Linked DNA regions of Callithrix jacchus. The protein of the gene in region 2 binds, or shares a complex with, the protein of the main gene of each other region. Links are inferred from orthologs where the notes say so. Each region holds a gene or a part of one and is shown on either strand. Other genes may lie near its edges.

What was found.
Region 1: APOOL (region 2) and CHCHD6 share a complex: the UniProt entries of both Homo sapiens proteins name them as parts of the mitochondrial contact site and cristae organizing system (MICOS) complex. The link is inferred for Callithrix jacchus from reciprocal best matches to the Homo sapiens genes APOOL and CHCHD6.

The regions. Positions count from the first base shown.
Region 1 is NC_133516.1:76,404,675-76,410,801, reverse strand, and holds the end of CHCHD6 (MICOS complex subunit MIC25), read left to right. Parts: intron 1-1,293; coding exon 1,294-1,429; intron 1,430-3,860; coding exon 3,861-3,866; 3' UTR 3,867-4,069; downstream 4,070-6,127. UniProt on the Homo sapiens protein: Component of the MICOS complex, a large protein complex of the mitochondrial inner membrane that plays crucial roles in the maintenance of crista junctions, inner membrane architecture, and formation of contact sites to the outer membrane.
Region 2 is NC_133524.1:82,583,414-82,589,548, reverse strand, and holds part of APOOL (MICOS complex subunit MIC27), read right to left. Parts: intron 2,916-6,135; coding exon 2,802-2,915; intron 2,608-2,801; coding exon 2,490-2,607; intron 1-2,489. UniProt on the Homo sapiens protein: Component of the MICOS complex, a large protein complex of the mitochondrial inner membrane that plays crucial roles in the maintenance of crista junctions, inner membrane architecture, and formation of contact sites to the outer membrane.

The DNA.
Region 1 (6,127 bases), on a different chromosome or scaffold from region 2:
TGTGTGCACCTGGCCAGCATGGAGTGCGCGAATGTGCTGCTGTGTCGGTGTGCGCGTGTGTGAGATTGAGTGTGTGTGCATCTGGCCAGCATGGAGTGCGCGAATGTGCTGCTGTGTCGATGTGCGAGTGTGTGAGATTGAGTGTGTGTGCGCCTGGCCAGCATGGAGTGTGCAAATGTGCTGCTGTGTTGGTGTGTGAGTGTGTGAGATTGAGTGTGTATGTGCCTGGCCAGAGTGGCGTGCACAAATGTGCTGCTGTGTCAGTGTGCAAGTGAGATTGAGTGTATATGCACCTGGCCGGCAGGGAGTGCGCAAATGTGCTGCTGTGTGTCATTGTGCGAGTGTGTGAGATGGAGTGTTTGTGTGCTTGGCCAGCAGGGAGTGTGCAAATGTGCTGTCTGTATGTGTCAGTATGCGAGTGTGTGAGATTGTGTGTGTGCCTGGCCAGCAGAGTGTGCAAATGTGCTGCTGTGTGTGTCCGTGTGTGAGTGTGTGAGATTGAGTGTGTGTGGAAGGAGACCAACCAATCGGAAATTACGCCCAGGAGGCTGGGCCGCTGACTGACTTTAGTGTCATCTGTATTTGCTCTTTTTTTCCCATAATTTTAGAAAGTGAACTTACTCACTTTTGTGAGTTATAAAACTACTTTGAAAAGGAAAGGAAAAAAATAGTAAATTGCCCCTAAAATATTACTGTGGTTACCTCTAAGAAGTGAGAAGAAGAATATTTTTCATTTCTTTAGACATTTCTATAGATTTCATCTTCCTTCCCTCACACATATTAGTTTTAAATCAGCAAAAAAAATAAGTTACATGGTTACAGCCATGGGTAAACCACAGGCAGAGGAAAGCAGCTGACCTGGGTGCAGCAGGAACGGCTACCCTCGGCGCAGCAAGGCAGGTTGTCCCAGGCATAGCAGGATGGCTGTCCTGGAGAGGAGCTACACCATCCTCATGGGGCCCTCCAGTGGGAGTCAGCTCATGGACTTTCCTGCCTCCTGGAGGTGCTCAGGCCCCAGCAAAGGAGCCCAGTGTGAAGCCCCAGACCCACAGCCCGTTTCAGTGTCTGCTGTGTTGTGAGCCTAAGCCACTGACCACAGGGCTTGACCTGCAGCTGTCCTCTCATTTCTAGAATGGGAAAGCACAGTGCTTCTCTCTGAGGGTTAAAAGGATACTGGTGGGTGTCAGGGGCTTAGCCTAGTGCCTGGCAGGTAGGTGGAGTGAATGTGAATTGTTTCTCTCCCCTGCCCACTGGCACACGAGCCCCAGGACTGCCTGCTTTTGTCTTCTGCAGGCCGCGCAGGGTGGAGCCCGTCTGCTCAGGGCTGCAGGCCCAGATCCTCCAATGCTACCGAGATCGCCTGCATGAGGTGCTGCTGTGCTCAGACCTGGTCAAGGCATACCAGCGGTGTGTGAGTACTGCCCACAAGGTAAGGCCTCACCTCCCTCCCAGGTTTCCAGGGGCTGTGGGAGGTGGAGGAGGTACCTCTATCTAGCATTGGAGATCTCTGCCTGCCTATTCCTGCTAGAGTCAGATGCTCCACCTGGAGGTCTCTGCATATACCAAGGGAGGGATTCTCGGGTCTTTGCTTTCCTCAGTCACCTCCTGGTGCACACCAGCCTGCTTCCAGGAGCGCCTTGCACATCTGCCCGGGGAGATGATCCCTGTGGAGTTTGCCCTGTTAGGCTGGACCTTCTTAGCCCTCAGCATTTAGGAGTGGGAGCATGGTGGAGGCCCAAGTGCAGAGTGGGGGTCTCAGCAAGGATGGGCCATCTGAAAATGGAGTGGGAGCCGGCGCGGCCATCAGGAGCTGCCCGCAGCCACAACCCTGCCACTGGTCTGGAGGAGCATGCTGGCTCGGTCTTCCCTGTATGTGGTCCCAGGTCTCATGTGCTCTCTGGTCACCCCCTACTCCAGTGGGCCTGCAGTACACTCCCAGCCAGCTTCTACTGTCTTCCTCCCCCACCCCCAGCTGCTCCTCTCTATCCTAGATAAATCCTTCCCCTTTCCAGGTCCCACAACGTCAGGCTGTTTCCAGTTACACCTCGCCCTTGCCCCACCCCAACAGGACAGCTCCCACTTTGGGGAGCATCATGCACTCTCAGGGCACCTGGCTTAGGCTCCCTGAGGAGTGCGGCCTGTTTGTGAAAATGTATGGGAAAAGCAATAGGATGAGGTCTTTCTTTCCACAGAAAAGCCTCTTTGGCCTGAGTAAGAAACAGGCTGCTTTAGGTACTTGAGGTGGAAAAGGCTGAGGCCAGACACCCTCTGCTCTCCAGCCATGTCTGAGCGGGTATCTCTCGCACGGAACTGAGCGGGGTCCTGCATCCCTGGGCCTGTGAGAGCTTCCTTGGGCCATGTCCTGCTGACAACCATCTGCGAAGCTGATTGTTCCACCCTGGGCTGGTCACAGCCCCATCCAGCACCACCTGACCCTTCATGGCCAGAGCACAGCCCAGAGGTAGCTCCATATAGGCTGAGTGGACGCCGGGCCTCTGTCAGCCTTCCAAGAGAGGGAAGCCCTGGCTAGGACAGGCAGCCTCCTCCTCTGTCTCAGACCATGGAAGGCTGCTTGCTCTGCTTCCACATGAGCAGGAGGCATTGGGGCACTGGGTAGGCTGGGCCGGACCAGGGCCCTTCACACCGACAAGACACTTAGCTCCCTACCCATTAGCAAGGTGAAACCCCCAGATCCTTCCCCACATCCTATCAAGGGCAGCTTTGAGTCCTGTTCATTACACACCTAACTCTTTACTGAGGGATCTGCCGCAGCCTCTTGGCTTCTTGGCAGGGCCCATCCTTCAGCGGCTAGCCCTAGACTCCATCCTCTCTCCATCCGGCCCCACCTATGTGGTAGTTTTCAGCCCCTACCCAACACCCCCAAGAGTATTTCTTTAACAAACACACCTCACCAATGTATCTTCCTTGCACCAAGGCAAAAATGTGATTACCAAGGAAGACAGATTACATTAAACTCCAGTGTGTTCCCTGAGAGAGGCTCTGGGACACTGCCAGGCCTGGCTCCCTCCTTCCCGGCCCTACCCCTGACCTGACTAGCAAAATCTGGAGACTAAGCAACGGCAGTGCCAGAGGCCTGTCTGGATCCCTTGTGCTGCCTTGGCAGCGTGTGTGCATTTGGGGACAGCATGTTCAACCCGACTCCCTCGGAGCCCCTGCACCCAGGCACTTGGGTGGCACCTGTGTGTGAGATGTGGCGAGTGCTGGAGAAACTTTCACCACCTTTCTCCCGTCTCCACCTCAGAAGGCTTCTGGCAGAGCCAGAGAGCGGGGAGTGAAGGGTCCCTAAGAGGGATTTGCTTCTGGGAGGGGCCCACATGGTCAAGGACCTAGGGTGGGGCAGCACTGCCTCTCTCCCCAGGATCTAGCATCTGCCCTGGGGCTCCTAGGGCAGCTAGGTGATGCCTAGGCCCAGAGCCTGGCGCCTGCCTGTGTGTGGATGTACAGGGTGTCTCAAACAAGGGCAGGGGCTTCGGGCTCTCCATAGCAGGGTCCTGACTGTGCAGGCCCCCGTGTCCCAGCAGACTCCCGCTGAGCTGTGAAAAATCAGAGAACAGAGGGGATGCCTTGGTGAGGGAGAGCAGAGTTTTATACTGTTCTATACTCAAGGTGCTTGTCAGAAACACTGAACGGGGGCAGGGCCTGTCTCCCACTGCTGGGGACTGTGCTCGGCTCTGGGGCACAGAGGTGAAGAGACTCAGTGCTGGGTCTCAAGGCGAGGAGGGAGACTGACTCACAGCTGCTCCCCAGGAAGCGATTGCTGTTCCAGGGCAGTCTGCATGGAGCCCTGAGGGCATGGGCAGAGTGGGCCGTGACTGAACGCTGACCTGTTCTCTTTGTAGGGCTGAGGAGCAGACATCATTCCCTGTCCTGGCAGTGACTTGGAGCCCTGAAGAAGGGACCAATCATGGGACCACAGCCCACAGAGCGCTAGGCCACAACCACCGTGCCCCGCCATGTCCTGCTGGGCCCTGAGCGGGGCTGCCATGTGTTTAGGAAACAAACTATACGCTACAGTCTGAAAACAAATAAAGCAGACGCCTTTGTTTTCCGTTGTTGACTCACTGGCAGCCAATCACTGCTGCCCACTCTGTGTCCAGCCCTCTGCTGGACACCAGTGAAGCAGGGCTGAGGAAGACGGGCTGCTTCCCTCGGGGAGTCCCTGGCCTGGCAAGGGAGATGGCCTGGGAACCCCCAGATACATCGCAGCAGCAGCAGGCTACCACAGAAGCAGGGATGAGAAGGAAGTGGGAGCAGGCCTTTCTAGGGATGGCACAGAGGGAGAGCAGGTCAGCTTCCTGCTGGGCGGGGGCGGGGGGGGGGCAGTGCTGCTTACGCCCAGGGCGGAAGGTGACCAGACGAGGGCAGGGCAGGCCAGAGACCCGGCAGAGTGGACCCCAGGTATGAGAGCAGCAGGCAGTGGAGAAGAGCAAAGGTGAGCAAGGCAGGCAGGCGGCGTGGCTACAGAAGTGGCAGGGCTGGAGTGTGCCAGGCTGAGCTGGCACTGTCTCTGAGTGACATTGCTCTGGCTCTCAGGTGGAGGGTGTCAGTGAGACAGGACTTGGCACTAGGGAGCATCACCAGTGTGAAGGGCCCTGCGCAGCTCAAGCCCAGGGAGGGTTAGCGGGGCTCACTGGAGAACTGAATCTGACTGAGTAAAGAAGATGCAGGTGACTTTGAAGTCTCTGACTTGAGTGTTGAGGGTTCTCCTAAAATAAGGAATGCAGAGATTGAGGAGAGCAGATGACAAAGTGGGTTTGGCATATGCTCTGCTTGTTGGTGTCCAAACACTGGCCTTCCAAACCTTGACCTCTGGCCGTGTCCCACAGCCAAGGTGCCCTGACCACACTCAGCCTGTGCCATGCCAGCAGGAGAATTTTGGGATAGAGCTTGGGATCTTCTAACTGCTCTGCTGGTGACCTTGGGTTTCCTGATAGAGCCCTTGGGGAGTCCCCATGCCATCTGGAGCTAAAAGCCTGTAGTCTCGACTCGGGCTTGGCAGCACAAACTTCCCTGCTCATTCCCAGATTCTTACACTCAGAGCTCAAGGGGTGGGTTGGGGCTTGGGTGTGTCCTATTGGCTTAGCATACCAGCAGCCAGGCAGACAGCTCTAGGAGACGCCCTCTCTAGGAGTCCCAGGTCAGCCTGTGGAAATGCACAGGAGGCTCCATGCAGTGTGATCAGCAGGGAGAGGTGGGATGCACAGGGCACCCTGGCCTGAGCCCTTTGGGGAGGGGCCTACTAAGAGGAGGGGTGAGGGGTCACAGGTCCAGCTTATCCACCATGCTGTTGTCACTCCCTCAGAAGCTTTTGGCTTCCCAGACTTTTTCCAACTTCAGGTCTCACAGGAATAACTTTCAGCTATCCCTCTCTTCTCCAGGCATCAGTTTAGGTGTTAGGGATGCATCTTGGGGTGGGAAACAGGGACTCCCAGGTACACAGACACCTGTGGGCTGGACGCTGCCTGAGCCTGTACCAGCTCGTTCTGTCTGGGTAACAAACCACCCCCAGACCACGTAGCTTAAAACAACACCTGCTTTATGTGGCTCATGATTCTGCTGGGTGGAGCCTGCGGCCCAGGCCCACTCAGGTCAGCCAACAGACCTGTGACCCTAAATGGCCTCCCATGTCCAGTGGCCAATGGGGCCATGGTTTCCTCTAAATGGCCCCTCCTCCTCCAGGCAAGATGGGGCTCCAGTTTTGGGCTCCACTCTCAGGCTCCCACACAGCCAGAGAGCCAGCCTCCAGGAGCAAACACTTCCTGATCCTCTGCCCGCAGCCCCGGGTCCCTTAATTCTCTGGTAGCCAGTCAGGTCAGATTGCAGTTGGCCTGAGAGGAGTGAAAAGATCTCTTTGGCCTCTGAGCTCCACAAAGCCACCTCCTGCTTTGGGAATAGGGCCAGAACGAGGTTGGCGGTAGCAGTGGCAGGTAGCAGCAACAGCCCTCTCCTCCTGGGCAGGGCCTATGCATAGGCGTCCAGGGACAGAGGCTGGCAGAGCAGCCTCATCAGATGGCACTGTTGCCCACCCGTCACTGCATAGTTGACTCAGACCAGGAGCTGACAGGGGTTTGAAGGCCAAAGGTGTGGGAGGTGTGGGGCAGGGGCC
Region 2 (6,135 bases):
CATCCCTTCTTTCTCGAAGGAGAATTGGCAAACTATTCTGCAAAAGGTCAGTAGCAAATATTTTTGACTTTGTGGACCATATGGTCTCTGTCGCAACTGCTCGACTCTGCCACTGTAGTGTAAATGCAGTCATAGACAATATATAGATGAATGCGTGTGGGTATGTTCTAATAAAATGTTATTTATAGACATTGAGATCTGAATTTCATGTAATTTTTACTTGTTATAAAATATTATTTTTTATTTTTTCAACCATCACTGTTAGCTTGCAGAATATATGAAAATAGTGAGTCAGAGGTGGCAGGCCAGCCATAGTTTACCAACCTCTGCTTTAGAGGGACATTAATCTTGTAAGAGTATGAGAGATTTCATTCCGCTTTCATCGGATTCTTGAAGAGATCTATGACACCAAATTTCTAAATTTGTAATTCCCATAATAATAATTTTCTCCATTAATGTGCATGAGATGGTAGAAAACAACTCATATTCGGAGCCACAACATACAGTTGGACAGTACACCCGATCTATTCTATATGGTGAAACGTGGTAGCCATGGCTAGGCACACTAGGTAAGTGACTTACTCCTAAAGTGTGCTCAATGAAAATCTATTTCTCGGCAAAATGACTAATTACTCTAGGCAAATGATAATAATGATATATTTTAATATCCACTGATACTTCTTAGTATATCTCTGCCATTGTAGTTAGTGCTTTACATGCAATATCTCATTTAATCTTTAAAACCTTGCAAGAACTATTATTGTTCCCTTTTTGTTGGATGAGGAGACTGAGGCTCGAGGTGTTTGATAACTTGCCCCAGGTAACAGAACTAGTACAAATGTTGGATCCAACAGAAATTTATTTCTCATGGTTCTAAGGACTGAAATTCTGAGATCAGGGTGTCAACATGGTCAGGTTCTGGTGAAGGTCCTCTTCTGGCTTGTAGACAGTCTAGTTCTCAATGTATTCTCACATGGCAGAGAGTAGAGGAAAGTAAGCTCTCTCAAGATTCATAAGAGCACTACTAATCCCAGTCATGAAGGCTCCACCCTCATCACCTCAACTAATTCTAATCACCTCTCTGTTGTTTACAAGTCACCCAGTCTATGGTATTTTTTACGGTAGCTCAAACTGACCAAGGCATATATGATAAGAATGAATAGCACTGGCATCTCTTTCTCCCTCTGCATTATCTCCTTAGAATGCTTTTCATATACCACATCACCCAAGACAGGCAATAAAGAGTTCCATCATCCAGATGTGTGAAGAAGACATTAGCTCGGGAAGGTTTTGGTCCCACTTTTAAGCTGTAGTATGCTTCATCTTCACAAAGATACTCTGTAATTAACTAGCATTTGGGAAAATGACCATATATTATATTCTTGTGAGAATATGGTCACCTGTAGATTATTCAGAGACTCTAAAAACTGTATAACTTGTCTTGATTAGGAAGGAGAGAGGACAGAGGAAAATAATAAAACTCAAATCAGGTTTGTTATTCAATGAGATTTTGTATAAAGATTAAGTGAGAGAGGAGGAGACTGAAATTAGAGACTAAATTCCAGTTTTAAATTAGATAATCTATACACAATGGAAAGAGCTTGTGCTTTGATGTCAAGAAGATCTAGGCCAGAAACACAACTCTGCCACTCACAAGCTCTATGAATCAGGGCAACTTATTTTAGCTCCCAGAGTCTCAGTCTCTTCATCATAAAATGGGAGTAATTACTGATCCAGCAGAGGTTTTTGTTTTACTTTGTGGGTAAGGGCTGAATAACACATTTCTAGCTCTCTGCATTACAGTATGTGCTTGATAAATGGTGGATACTATTATTATTCCCCAACCTCTGAGTTAGTCACCTTTCCTCTGCAGTAAGACAACTTCATGGGTTTTACCATTCACATTGTACATACAGATACAACTATGCAAATCAATATGAATACATTGTCAAAATGGTATCAAACACTGTCACCTTCTTTTTGATCACAGTAAAATCATAGTAGTGTTTTCTTAGAAAGCATAATTGTCACTGTTTGGTTCCACAGAGTACTTATTGCCAGTATGGAATACTAGGAACATTACAAGTCTTAAGATTGACAGGTAAATAGCACAAAAAATGGAAGCTTACATTTCTTTATGTAGGTGTGACTCATACCTTTAAAATTATAGAATCTAGAAAGGCTCATTTTCCCCGACCTGATAAAATAGCTCATACTTATAACGTTATATGAAATGTTTCACCCAATCAACCTGTCAGTGCTACTCTATATCCTCACATACAAAGATCTATATTATGAACTATGTGGTAATTTAAAACAATCCCAGGCACCTAAGTACCTCATAACCTAAAAAGAAATGCAAACCACAGATACAAGAAAGACCAAATATTTACTGAGAAAACACATCTGTAAGTTCAAACCACTAATGATAATGCTATCAAATTATTTAAGAAAAGAATGAAAATAAAACTGAATTATTCCCAACAAACCTGAGGTGGATACTGATTTGGTCTTCGCTTCAGAGCTGAGTTCTGCTGGCAAAGGCACTGAGTGTTTCAAGACATGAGTTGTTTTTGCAAATGCTTCTATTTCGGCAGAGGATCCTAGCTGTTTACCAAAAAGATTTTTCCTTGATAAGTACATCATTTTACTAAGAGAATAAAATTTCTTTAAAAATTATACCAAATTCCTTCATGTACTTTCTTATTTTATCCTCGACCTCTGTCCAGTACCCTCATTACAAGCCAACACCCACCCAAACAAAAATCAATATGGACCGTCTTGTTCCATTTAAACTTTACCTTAGTTTTTTCCTTAGGCTGAGGAAGTGACTCTTTTTTGTTGCTTTTTGTCCACAGTGATTTAACTGTTTCAAAAGTTTGCTGGCTTGTAGCATATATCTTTTTCCCTGTTACCTAATTAAAACAAAAAGGAAGTCAAATAACATATATTTTTAAAAGTTAAAATAAAAAATGCATTTTAGATTTGTCAGGTATTTTATATGAACACTCAGGTAGGAATCAATAAAGATATAAATCTCTAAATCATATAACACAAAGCACCATTTCTAAAATCCTATGTGAAAAAACTGTTGTGTCATGCAAAGGGCTATAAGATATGTATACACTGCAAATGTTTATACATATGCAAAATGCAACATATAAATCTAAAATGTAACATAAATCTAAAACTATGTCTACATTATTTTTAAAATTTTTTTCAGCTTTATTGAGATTAGGTTGACATATAAAAAACTGTATCTATTTAAGGTATATAACATGGTGATATAAGTGAAAACTGTAATAAACAGGAGTTTTGGGAATAAACTGCTGACTGAGAAAATTAGATTTTTAACATGCTACAAAGTTAATGCTTTTGCTTAAAATTTTATGGTGCTTTCTCCATTCATAAAGAAATAAAAAGCATCAGCTAATTCTTCCAAAGAATATTATTCTTTTTGGTAGAAAGGTAAAATAAACAATGATCAATAAACATACTCAAGCAGAGGCTGGGATGCTCACTGAATTCCTAAAGTTACTGTTATTTTCATTCATCTATCTTTCTCTTTGAAAATCTACTTCTGATTTCTTCTTTTTTCCTATTCTTCTCCAATCCTTTTGTTCATTATGGTTAAAGTAATTTCAACAGCCATTGATTTTTCAAGTTTCAAAGATGTTTTGAGGGGCTTTCCAGGATTACAATTTCTACAAACATATTTGTTTTAAAAATTAGGTTTCCATCCTCAAATAGAAATATTTTTATTGTTTTTACTAAGTATATACCTATACTTGAAAAGTAATACAGTAGTATAAAGAAATTCCTCCTCTTCCCCAAATACAACCTTTGTTAACAGTTATACCTATATTCTTCCTGAATTTTTACTCATATATACATTAAATATATACAAACAAATTTTAAAACAAATGCAATGTTAACATTTATAGATCTTTCAAAAAAGATGACGTAGATCTATATGTACTGGCATGAGTGGAAGTTCATGATGAACCACTAATTTGAAAAAGGTACAGAATAGATTATATAATATAATCTCAATTATGTTTTCAATTAAATTTTCAAAATAAATTACATATGTATTTAGTTTGTTTTCCTTTTTAAATACAAATGAGATCACAGTAAACATATTATTCTGAGATATGATTTTTTAAAAGCTTGACAATATTTCCCAGGTATGATTCTACATTACTTTATATACTCATAGATCTAATTTTTAAAATTGCTGCTTGGTTTAGTATTCTATAATGGATGTGCCACAATTTGTGAAACAAATTCCCTATTGAGGCACAATGATTTAACAGATCCCCTGTTGGTGAGCATAGGGGCTGTTTTCTTTTTGGGGGTAGGGGGATGGCAAGTATAAGCAATGATGAAATTAGCATCATTATACATACAACTGGGACCATAACCTTTATGGTATTTCCTCAGGATACATTCCTAGAGTTGAAATTTCTGCACTGAAGAGTATACACACTAATTTTTGACAGTATTACCATGTTGCTCTCCAGAAAGTGAGCAATATACTGCAGCAATTTACATTCCCACCAAGAGTATAAGTCTGTTTTCCTACCCTGTTTACTAGCAGTGATATTATAAGTCTTCTAAATCTTTGTCAAATTGAAAGGCTAAAAACCAGTATCTAAATGGTTTTCCAAATCTGCATTTATTTGATTGCTAATAAAATCAAGTATCTTATATATATATTAGGCCATTTATGTTTCTTACTATATAGATTGCTAGTTGGTGTTTTTTTCTTCATTTTCCCAGAAGGCACATTCATCTTTTGCTCATTGATTTATAGGAGTTCTTAATACATGAAGGATATTCATACTTTGTCATATATGTTACAAATAGTTTTCCCAGTTTTTCACGTATCCATTAACTTTGTGTATGGTATTTTGTAATCTACCGAAATGTATTAATTTTGATGTAGTCAAATATGTCAACTTTTTCTTTGATGGCTTGTATATTATATCTTGCTTAAGAAAGCCTTTCTTATCTCAAAATTAAACAGGTATTCCTCTTTTTCTTCTCATACTTTTTATAGTATTCTAGTTTATGGTTAGATCTTTATTCCACCTAGAATTAGTGTTCCCATGATAGTTGGTAAAGGTCTGACTATTTTTCCAAACAGCCAATTATTTCAACACATTTCTTGAAAAAACAATCCATCCTTTCCCTTACACACTGATCTGAAATGCCATCTGTACCACATATCAATTCTCTACCCAATTGTGTACAAAGATATACTCAATATAATTTTTTGGATATTCTTTTTTGTCCTCTTGATCTATTTTACTGTCTATGCTATAGTAACCAATACACAGTAGACAGACAATAAATACTATGTGCATGAATGTTATACTCCATTCAAATACAGGACTTTTGTAAGAACTGAATTAAATTTCTAGATTTTGAAACACTTGCCATATTTGAACACTTAGTCTTTTCATCTAGAAACAGGATATATCACCAAAGACATTCAAGATTTTTTGTTAAACGACCTTCACATATAAGTGAGATCAAACAGTATTTGTCTCTCTGTGTCTATTTTATTTTACTGAGTATAATGCCCTCTGGGTTCATCCATTCTGTTGCAAATGGCAGAATTTCCTTTTCTAATGGCTAAATAGCACTCTGTTACATATGTGCAACACATTTTCTTTATTCTTTTATCCATTGAGAGACACTTAGGTTGTTTCTAATCTTGACTATTGCAAATAACGCTGCAATGAACATGGAAGTACATGTATCTCTTCAAGATACTGATCTCATTTTTTTTTAAATATATACCCAGAAGAGAAGCAGAAAGTAGAATGGAGGTTGCCAGGGGATAGGGGTGAGGTAAATGAGGAGATGTTGGTCAAAGGGTACAAACTTTCAGTCATAAGATGAACAAGTTCTGGGTATATTATGTGCTGCAAGGGTGGTGATGGATGTGTTAACTCAATTGTAATAATCATTATATAATGTATATGTACATCAAGTCATCATGTTATACACCTTGAATATATTTGATCTTTATTCATCAATTAAATATTGTGAAAATTTAAAAATGCCCTTCCATAAAGTTTGATAGTCTTTTTCCTTTTAAATAGGCCTTAAAACATTATTTGGTTA